2 linked regions of the Drosophila melanogaster genome follow. The gene in region 1 interacts genetically with each later gene. Each region holds a gene or a part of one and is shown on either strand. Other genes may lie near its edges.

Region 1 (5,149 bases):
GTTGCCTGGGTGTTCACCAACAGCAGCAGCTACACCCATTACCACATCGAGAACAACTTTACCAGTCGCCAGTCGCCGGGAATGTTGTCTAGGCACGCATAAAATGTATTATAATGACATCACAAATTGAGCTCGCTATGTGTGTCCATAAATGAGTGACAAAGCTTGCCCGCACTCCATTCCAGCGGCAAAAATAGCAAATAATTTATCAAATAGCAAAAAACGGAGACTTTCCGCAGCAAGCAAGTACATCAGAATCCAAATATTACGAAATTGTCATAAATAGTGAAAACCGAATTTAATAAGATATCGATATGAATTTTAAACTTTAAAATTATTTTTACTTGAGGCAGTGCTACAATGACGACAGGCAGATTTATCGATTTCCCTCTTTGGGCTCAGTTGTAACCCCATCATGGCATTATTTGGTTTGGTATGGTTATTGCTGCGTTGAAGTTTATCCACAACGCCACATCCCCATGAGTCCCTTTTCCACACTTTGACTGGTTAGTAGCACCCGACAAAGGAATATACATCGAAAGAAGAAACACAGACCCACCACTGGGGACCGTCGGACCCTAACCCGCAAACCCACCATCCCACCCACACCCACTGGGCTTTGCCGCACGCTCATGCGACTGCACACCCACTGAGGCAAAAAAAGGATACTCTTTCTTTTAGAAGTTATATTTATCGGCTCAGCTTATAATTGTAACGCGAAAAGGCCCCACAACTGACTCGCAGCTCTTGACAACCGATATTACGATCATTTACTTTTCAGATCGGATCCCATTATCTGCATGGTAAAACCCCAATTTTCAGTGCAGTCGCTTCGCGCCATGTGGTCCTTTCTGCCGGTGCTCAGCTGACTCACCTGACGACTGTGCAACATGCCACCAGCAACCCGCAACTAGAAACTCGCAACTCCGAATTTGGAGCTCCCAACTCGCCATTTGGACGACGGATAGAAGTCGCATTAAAATGCCAAAAATATGCTCGAAACCATAAAAACTAGCAAAGTTGCGGGGAAACTGTGAATTTATCTAATTAGTGAGGGCAGAATCAAAAAGATGGAATTATGGCTGCACAGAATGGAAGTCGCCATCCACATGTTGTATTACAGCTCGGCTTATACCACACACATAAGGACCAAACAAAATAATATGCAATTTTAAAAATAACTTTCTGTTTAAAGATTTTCTATATGTGAACAATACTGCCTTAAAATAAGTTAATAAATAACAACGTAAATTAATACAACAAAAAGTACCAAGCGATTTTAATGGTCTCTATGGAAATCCATTTTTGGCTACCGTAAGAGGCTTGCTATCATTTTTTTTATACAAGGGGCTTTAGTTCTAACATAAAATTAAGATAGTTGTGCGGCTCAGCTTTTTTAAATTATTTGTATGGTATGGGGCTCCACACAAAGTTCTCTGTTTGCTGGTAAATTGGAGCAAAGCTTTTAGCTTGGGGGTAGTTTGGCGGACTGAAGGGGCGATTCGGGGTGTAAAAAGTTATGGGGGCTTTGAGCATAAAAAGCGTCCAAACAAGATTTTTGATTGTTAATGTCGCGGTAAATGTTTTGCTTTCTGTTCCTCTCACCTAGTCGTATATATCCTAGATCTTCATCTCTTGTGTGTAATAGAGGAGATCTTGAAATAATTTGCTGCTGGAATAGACACCGCTTATATTACATTTGCTCGAATTGATTTGACGATATGCCATGTTTTCTTACGATTAAATTGGAACCTCCACCTCCAATGACTACAATGAATGATGATAGCCTATCAGAAGACGTTTCCTTTTCTTTCAAAAGGTTTTTAGTAAAAGGCAAAATAACGCTAACCAACAAAGCATTAGAAGTTCTGGAAACAGGATTTGTTTTAACAGAAAATTGCGCATAATCACACTTGCCACAAATGATCGCTTATTCGAGTTGTGGGAGCCTTATCAAGCACAGCCGAATTTGATAGCGACAAGGTCATTTCCTATGATGGACTTTTCACCCTTCAAATAGTTTTTTAATTAACTAAATGCATAGCCGCCAGTGAGTTTCCTGGATAGGTCCCTTTGTTGAAAACTCACCTGCACTGTGGAACTGCGTTTCTCCTGACGTCCTAATGCTTGACGTTTTGCGTCTAATCCGTGCCAACGGCTACTGCCCAAGTTATGAAAACGTGAGATCACAAATTGCAAGGGACAACTGGGGTCGGGTTGAAGAGGGGCGGAGGTATGGGAGTGGGCTAGTTGCAGTCACCGGTCGTAAATGTGTGCCGCGTTGTGAAAAGGATGCACTTGCTCTCTATGGTAGCTCTCTCTTGCTCTCTCTTTTTCTCTAAAAATGTCTATCTCTTTCGCTCGCTAGCGTTACCTTTTATTTCGGCTTTGATTGGTTTTAATTTCCGCTGAAGCTGCTTTTACTTCCGGGGCAGTAAGAATGCGAATGCAAAATGCAATTGGCTAGGTGCAGGTTTTTGTTGTTAGAGACTTATCGCTGATTCGGTGGTCAATGGCTTGGGATTTTGAGAAGCAGTACATCCTTGCAGCCTCTCTTTGCTCCTTTCTGCACCGTCTTTCGTTGCCTTTCGTTTCGTTTCACACTTTCGTCGCATTCACGGCATCCCATGCAACTTTTTTGCTGCGGCATTTTTTGCGTAACTTGTGAGATAATTTCAACATGTTTTTGGTTCCCGGAAAAGGTGCAATTTATTTTTTGGCCTTTTCATTGATCTGTGCGCGAGAGTGCTTGCGGGCGCGGTGTGTGGGCTCGCGGCAGGCGGGTGTGAGAGTGTGTGGGTGGTGCGGGGAACCCGTAGCGGAATGCGTCCGTGTGGCAGCGCGAAGCTTTCGCAACTATGCGAATTTCCTGAGTAGGAATTTCAGTATAATAAAATATCCTGTTCCTCTTCTAAGTCGAGAAAGAGAGCAAGAGAGCGCTAGTTATTCTGCGCGTGCGCCACGAATTGGAGCACTTTAATGCTGGTGGCGATAACACGGACATGGACACATCACCAATACTCGCGCACGTACACCCACCACCGCGGTGGAACTCCTTCCCTCTCACTCACTCCAAAACTTCCTACGTTTTTTTCACTGTGCTGCGCCGCTTGTCCTTTTGCTTTTCTCCGATGTTAAACGACACTTTCGGTTGTTTTTCAAGCTTTCTTATCTTTTCGGACCATGGGCCGCGCCTTTTATTGCGTTTTTACGAAGCAATTGTGCCTGCATTCGGTGGAAAAACTACAAAATATTATTTGATCGGAGGAAACGAAACACTCGCAGCAAGCGACGAGAGCGAAATGCAGCGTGCAAGAGCGAGACTGCACCACAGTCAGCTTTTACCGTTGCACGCAGCGTTGATGACAAGGGAAAGAAATAAGGACGCATGCGCGAAAAATTTCTGTTGGTCGCTTGAAGAACAGTATATACCAAATATTGGTTTCGGTTTCAATAAAGAGAAATTAAATGGTAAATGTGTAACAAAAGGAAAAATTTTTAAATATTTAGATTACTGTTGAGTAATAGTTGGCAGCTATTTTACACACATAGATGGCGTGACGGTTACTTTTTACAGAACTCTGTTACGTTTGGAAAAACTCTAGAATCTGTGAGATCATACATTTTGGTATTTAAACTATTTTAGCAACTGGTAACACTATTCGACACCGGTGCCATCAATTTGGGTCAATTTAAAAGGAACTATGTTTTTGCATAACACAAAGTTTTGCAGACTGGCAAGTGAGTATACGAGTGGATACAGTTCCCACGACATTCCTACATATTCCCCAACAGGTGGTCTGGCAGGAGGAGTGCGCAACCTGAGCGGCCAAAAACCGAAGACCGCGATCCTAATGCTGAACATGGGCGGTCCGACCCACACGGACCAGGTGCATGACTACCTCCTGCGTATTATGACCGACCGGGACATGATCCAGCTGCCGGTGCAGAGCCGTCTTGGTCCGTGGATCGCCCAGCGCAGGACGCCCGAGGTACAGAAGAAGTACAAGGAGATCGGCGGTGGTTCACCGATTCTTAAGTGGACCGAGCTGCAGGGCCAGCTCATGTGCGAGCAGTTGGACAGAATCTCCCCGGAGACAGCACCTCACAAGCACTACGTCGGTTTCCGCTACGTGAATCCCCTCACTGAGAACACGCTGGCCGAGATCGAAAAGTGAGTGTAGTCGAGAAGTAGAACAAGAGTGATGTAAATAATCCGAAGGTCGTGAAATTGACCTATATATATTGCTACGGACTCTCACAATAAGATATGTTCTAGTAAATAAGTTTGTATAGACTTCTGACTTCTTATGCATGTTTCAATGTCCTGCTATTATCAGTTGACTTCTTGGACAAATTACTGAAACCTAAACCTGGAAATTATGGTCATTTGCGCTACTTAAAGAATACATGTTAATATTTTAACATATTTACAGGGACAAACCAGAGCGCGTTGTACTCTTTTCACAATATCCACAGTACAGCTGCGCCACCTCCGGATCCAGCTTTAACTCCATATTTACTCATTATCGGAGCAAGTGAGTTAGAAATGCACAATTGCAGCTATTTATTTGATCCCCTCTACCTCTTTAGTAATCTGCCCTCGGATATCAAATGGAGCATTATCGACAGGTGGGGCACTCATCCACTTCTAATCAAAACGTTTGCCCAGCGAATTCGCGACGAGCTGGCCAAATTTGTGGAAACGAAACGAAATGATGTGGTCATCCTCTTCACTGCCCACTCCCTTCCCCTTAAGGCTGTGAACCGGGGTGACGCGTATCCCTCGGAGATTGGTGCTAGCGTACACATGGTGATGCAGGAACTTGGTCAGACGAATCCCTACAGCCTGGCATGGCAATCCAAGGTGGGCCCGCTACCCTGGCTGGCGCCCGCAACTGATGATGCCATTAAGGTGTAACTTTAATGCCGGATTTCCATTCCCATCCACTAAAACCAATCCCATCTTTACAGGGCTATGTTAAGCAAGGCCTGAAGAACTTCATCCTTGTGCCCATTGCCTTCGTGAACGAGCACATCGAGACGCTGCATGAGCTCGACATCGAGTACTGCGACGAACTGGCCAAGGAGGTAGGCGTAGAGGAAATCCGTCGAGCTGCAACCCCCAACGACCACCCGCTGTTCATCG
Region 2 (5,217 bases), on another chromosome or scaffold:
CGATTTTTTACAAAATATCACAGATGCTATACGAACTAGATTTCGCTGCTAATTTTATTTCATTACTCTAGCATACTAGCGATAATTGCTTGACTTGTAAGATCATGAAAAATTTATCTGCTATTCAATTGGAAATAACTTTACAGTAAGGTAATGAGTAATCAATGGATTTTTTTGAACAAATGGACTGTGCGCTTATCGAAATATAATAAAAAAAAATCGATCCTCATGAATAAAAGTAAAGATATGTATGCCTGCCTTAACCATAAGCTGTAATTTCCTTGGTTTTACCCACCTTGAGCTGCGCCTCTTTATGCCGTAGTTCCTGCTCGAGTTTCTCGTTGAGATCATGCAACGATGTAGACTCCCTCTGAGCATTCAGGTATCGCTTTTCCAATGTGGTAATGCGCTCCTCCTAAAAATGAACGTATAAGTAAAAAACTGAAACCATGCTGTGAGTATTATTCACTCACCTGATCCTCTTTCTGGGCAACATTCTCGCGCAGATCCCGCTGCAGCTTGGCACACTGGTCTTGGGCCTTGCAGTGTTCCTTTTGCACTCGCGACATGTTCTCCTCAAGCTCACTAATCTTGTTGTTCAAATCAGAAACGCGTCGCTGCCATTGTGAAAGTTCCGAGGTCTGACAAGGAAAGAGCGTTTTAAAAAGTGTTCACCATATGCAGACTGGAAACAGATCCGCAATCTTCACCTGCTTCTCAATAATGGTTTGCAGCTCGTGGGTTTTGGCTGCGTAGTCGTTCAGCTCATTTGCCTCGCCATTAACGCCACCAGATCCGCCCACGCCCGCCATCTAGGGTATTGGAAAATAGAAGAGATATATTAAACCGGACATGCTTGACTGCATTTCGAATGTGGAACGCACCTTCTCTTTGAGCCCGTTCTCGGCGCCCCCACCACCGGCGGTGGTTGCGGCACTCCCTGCTCCGCTGCCACTGCCCACGCCAGCTGGCACCACGCCCGCCTTGTACTGGGCCAGTTCCTCCTTGGCAGAGCTGAGTTCCTCTTCCATCATGTTGTTCTTCTCGATGGAAAGCCGCAACCGCTCGCGCACCTTCTCGTCCAGCGCCTTGTGGTGCTCGAACAGCGACTTTAGCGCCTTGAGCACTTCCACCTCGCTGGAGACGCCGCTCTGGGCGGCAGCCTGTCGCTTCACAACGGTCATACGCAGGGAACGCTCGTGGCGGGACACCAAGCACTCCAGATGTTCGAGGAGAAGCTGAAATAGTCAAGTTAGATCATTAAAAATATATTATTTCACGCAGTAACCGACGTTTAAATTGTCTCTTTAAAAGTAAAATTACCGTAGAAATTTAATTAAAACTGATTTTCTTGATATTCAATGAAGCGGAAAGGACTTATAAATACAGTTTACTTCACTTTTTATGGTTTAAGACGGATGTGAATACAAAGAACTAATTCTTAAAAGGCTGTAACAATGTTTGTATAGTCACTGATAAGTAAACAAATAGACAAGCCATGTTCGAAATAAAAATGAAGACGGACAGAGTAAACTTTTGTATTGTTCCCGGTATATGTGACTAATTCGCAAAAGCAAGTACCTACAACTGTTTCTTGTTTGAATAACAATGGGATATGTAATTTAGCAATGGCTATAATACCTAAATTAATAAATTAGTCTAGCAAATCTTGTCATGATCTACCTGATCTAACCATTACTCAATTGTCTCAGTAATTGAAATACCAAGGATCTAAATTTTCGAAAATCACTTACCCTGGTATTATTCCTCTCCGCCTTGAGCTCCCCAATCTCCTCGTCACGTTCCAAAAGGGTCTCCCGCGCTTGCGTCAGCTCCTTGGTCAGGGTGGCAAACTCCTAGAAAGATCAGGAAAAGATTTTAGGTAAACTGCGGTATCAGCATGCAGAGGCCACTTACTTGCGGCAGATTAGCGTTAATCTGTCGCTGCAGGCTGTCCCGCTCCTTCTCGACGTCACGCAGCTTGTTCTCCGTCTCGTTAAGCCGCTCCTGCGCCTCCCTCAGGCTGTCCATCAGCTTGTCCCGCTCGTCCAGCATGGAGACCATCAGCTGCTCAAAGTTGGCATCCTCCCCGCTAAACTGCGAGGAGCGCTGCGAGATGCTATCCTCGGATATCGTGGGCATTACGTCGCACATCATGTTCCACATTATTTAGTTGGGGCCGCCAGACTGTGCGAGACAGAGAGGGGAATAAAGGTTACAGGATTTTGGCTGTAGGTACATTTTGTGCGGAGATTGTACCACTATCGCTGTTACCGAAGCACAAAAACTAGACGCGTTTTTCTAAAGTTTCTTGAATTTGATCCTTGATCATAAATGAATTGGCGTGATTGAATTTTTGTCTGTGATTCCGCATATGGGAGATACTTAATGCTGTAGCTTCTTCTGCATAAAATCAAATTCTTTATGTTAATTGAATTTATAAAGTAAATTCAATTAATTCATACAAAATGTCCATTCTATGGAGTCCGGATATTTTACTACACACACACACGTTCGCTAGCCATTCCAATTGAAATACCCAGCATAGTGGGAGAAACATGTCTAATGAGACTTATCATAGGCGCCGCATTGATAACAAGTTTTCTACACCAACACATACGCACACTGTCGCAGGCGGGGGCACACGCACGGCATACACACTCACACGCGCACGCACACAGGCACAGTACTTTTTCTCTTTCGCATAACTGGCATATTTTGTGTGCCTAGGTGTGTCGCTGTCGCATTTTGCAATCACATATACCCGAAACAGGGTTAAACGAGCAGCAGGTGCGAGCTTACGCCGCTTTTAAATGCGTTCCAATGAGTTTTTCACCTGAAATTTCGGTTTAGTGGGACGGCGTTCGTGTGAAAAAAAAGAGGCTGCGAGAAAATCGCCTCGTACTCCTCGTTACGCCGGAACACGTACCCCGATCGATCGCACGGCGGCTGGGCAGCAGCAGCAACAACAACTCTGGCCGCTTTTTGCCCTTCGCATAGGTGTCCCGGCTGCTTTTAATTAAATAAACCGAATTCCAAATGGATTTTTTAACGATGAGAAACTGGTCAGTGTTACCAGATGGCAAAACGGCTAAAATCCGTAAACCAACCCTGGTTCTTCACTACAAAATGTACTACATTTCATGAATTTTTTCAGTGGTTCTATTTCGTCCAAAAAATATAGAAGTAAAATGTGTTGTTTTAAAGTTTTTGTGGCAGTCTATTTATGTTCAAAGCTAAATTATATGCAAATATTATTGCCGATCAGGAGTTGCCATTTGACCTATCGTCAAGTATTAGAAAAATGTGTACTAAAACTAATGCTGCCACACCGCACAAAGAAAACCATATCTAACAAATATTCAAACTACATGTAGGCGCACAACTAGACAGTCAAAAAAACTTATCACTTTTATCTGAAATTATTTTGTAACTTCCGTCATTTAAATGCAATGCTTCAACAGCTACACATGTTTTTGAAAAAATTACATTGTTATGGTGCCTTACAGACAAACATATTTAGTATTTATTTATCTTAATTAATTTGCAATTCGCTTTACAGCGATTAAATTATTCGATAAGAATCATTGCTCTTATACGAGCTCATGTGTTATCGATGCTTGGAAGCTAATAAATAAATCATCGATGGTGTTGAGCCAGTAAAAACATCGATAGCACCATACAAACATCGATTTTGGTTCCAGCTCTAGACATTTGTGTTTTATTTTTTTTAACCGTGAAATTCATAAGTAAAACCGACTAGCATTGGTATAAACTGCTGCGGAAGCACTCAGTCAGCGCCAAAGAACGAATACAATGGGGTAAGACCGATGGGCGCGGCCAAACCGGCCTAAACCTGCCGTTTTTACTGTGGGAAAAATCGACGCCGAACTAGCTGACATCTCCCCCCTATGATGTTGTTGTTGTTGCTGCCGTTCTGTGTGTAGCGGGCGGCGTAAATACATACATATATATGTACACAAACATACACCTACACACGCACACGCGTGGGCAGGCCAATTACATGTGTGTGGGTGTGCAGGTGTGTGTGACTGTGCAGGTGTGTGCGTGCGTGTTTTCCGCCCGAGAATCAAAAATCACAAGCAAGGCTGCGGAAAAGGCTTAGCACATAATGCAATTTAGTCGGCGGTCGACAGTCGCCAGCGATAACGGGAAGACACAAGTTATAGAGCTCAGCGAACGATGTCGGCGGATAGGTAATAGATAAGATATATATATGTATATGTGTACAAATAAAGGCACTGGAGGCTACCACGGATACGGAATTGATTTGATGGGGGCCCTGCGCCCCGCAACAAACTGTCATTGCATCAGGCCAGATCGCAAAAAACAAACATATATCGACCTACTTTATCAAATAAGGACCACGAGGATTATCCTGGGACTTAAGGACTACTAATTATAAATGCATTACACAGTGCCTGTTGACTAATAAACCACAGTAAAAGAATGCTTTGCCATAGTTTACTCACACGAGCACAGAAGCACAATTTATTGCCTGCTCTAAATGGAATTTTTAATTAATCACACGCTTGTCGCTTTAATCCCTTTATGACCCTTAGCGAACAACCGATTTTCACCTGCCAGGCGCACGTCTTCCACATCGATCCGAAGACGAAGCGCACCTGGATCACGGCCAGCATGAAGGCGGTCAACGTTAGCTTCTTCTACGACAGCTCGCGAAATCTGTACCGCATCATCAGTGTCGAGGGCACCAAGGCGGTGATAAACTCGACGATCACACCCAACATGACCTTCACCCAGACCTCCCAGAAGTTCGGCCAGTGGAGCGATGTGCGGGCAAACACGGTGTACGGCTTGGGATTTGCCTCAGAGGCGGAATTGACCAAGGTGAGTGGTTAGCATATGTCTCACATATTTATATACTAATCATATCGCTCAACAGTTCGTAGAGAAGTTCCAGGAGGTCAAGGAGGCCACCAAGAATGCCATGAAATCGGCCAACGGATCGAATGCCGTCACGCCCACCACCTCGGCGAACACGTCGCCCATTTCCGGGAGAGCTGTGGGCTCCATGCAGAACGACAACACAGCCATCGATCCGCACACTGTGGAGCCGCCCAACATGAGCAACACGAATACCCAGAACGCCAATCCGGACAGTCCTTCCCACAAGCTTCTAAATACCAGCGATGTCAAGGCGGACATCGGATCGGCCACGCCCTCGCCGCAGCC

The links.
Region 2: of RhoGAP100F (region 1) and Liprin-alpha, changing one suppresses a phenotype caused by changing the other (phenotypic suppression), as found in Drosophila melanogaster (one study listed by BioGRID).

What each region holds. Positions count from the first base shown.
Region 1 is NT_033777.3:31,810,766-31,815,914, reverse strand, and holds the start of RhoGAP100F (Rho GTPase activating protein at 100F), read right to left. Parts: upstream 3,307-5,149; 5' UTR 2,089-3,306; intron 1-2,088. Other genes in the region: FeCH (ferrochelatase), read left to right, coding at 3,705-3,741, 3,796-4,174, 4,437-4,538, 4,594-4,915, 4,975-5,149. UniProt on the Drosophila melanogaster protein: GTPase activator for the Rho-type GTPases by converting them to an inactive GDP-bound state. Promotes the anchoring of Liprin-alpha clusters at synapses. Recruits and keeps Nrx-1 levels high in active zones in the presynapse opposite the postsynaptic region.
Region 2 is NT_033779.5:6,721,797-6,727,013, reverse strand, and holds the start of Liprin-alpha (Liprin-alpha), read right to left. Parts: upstream 3,112-5,217; 5' UTR 2,930-3,111; exon of another isoform or gene 2,837-2,929; 5' UTR 2,621-2,836; intron 2,188-2,620; 5' UTR 2,167-2,187; coding exon 1,918-2,166; intron 1,857-1,917; coding exon 1,755-1,856; intron 1,239-1,754; coding exon 885-1,238; intron 813-884; coding exon 711-812; intron 642-710; coding exon 474-641; intron 416-473; coding exon 296-415; intron 1-295. Other genes in the region: homer, read left to right, coding at 4,204-4,217, 4,584-4,872, 4,928-5,217.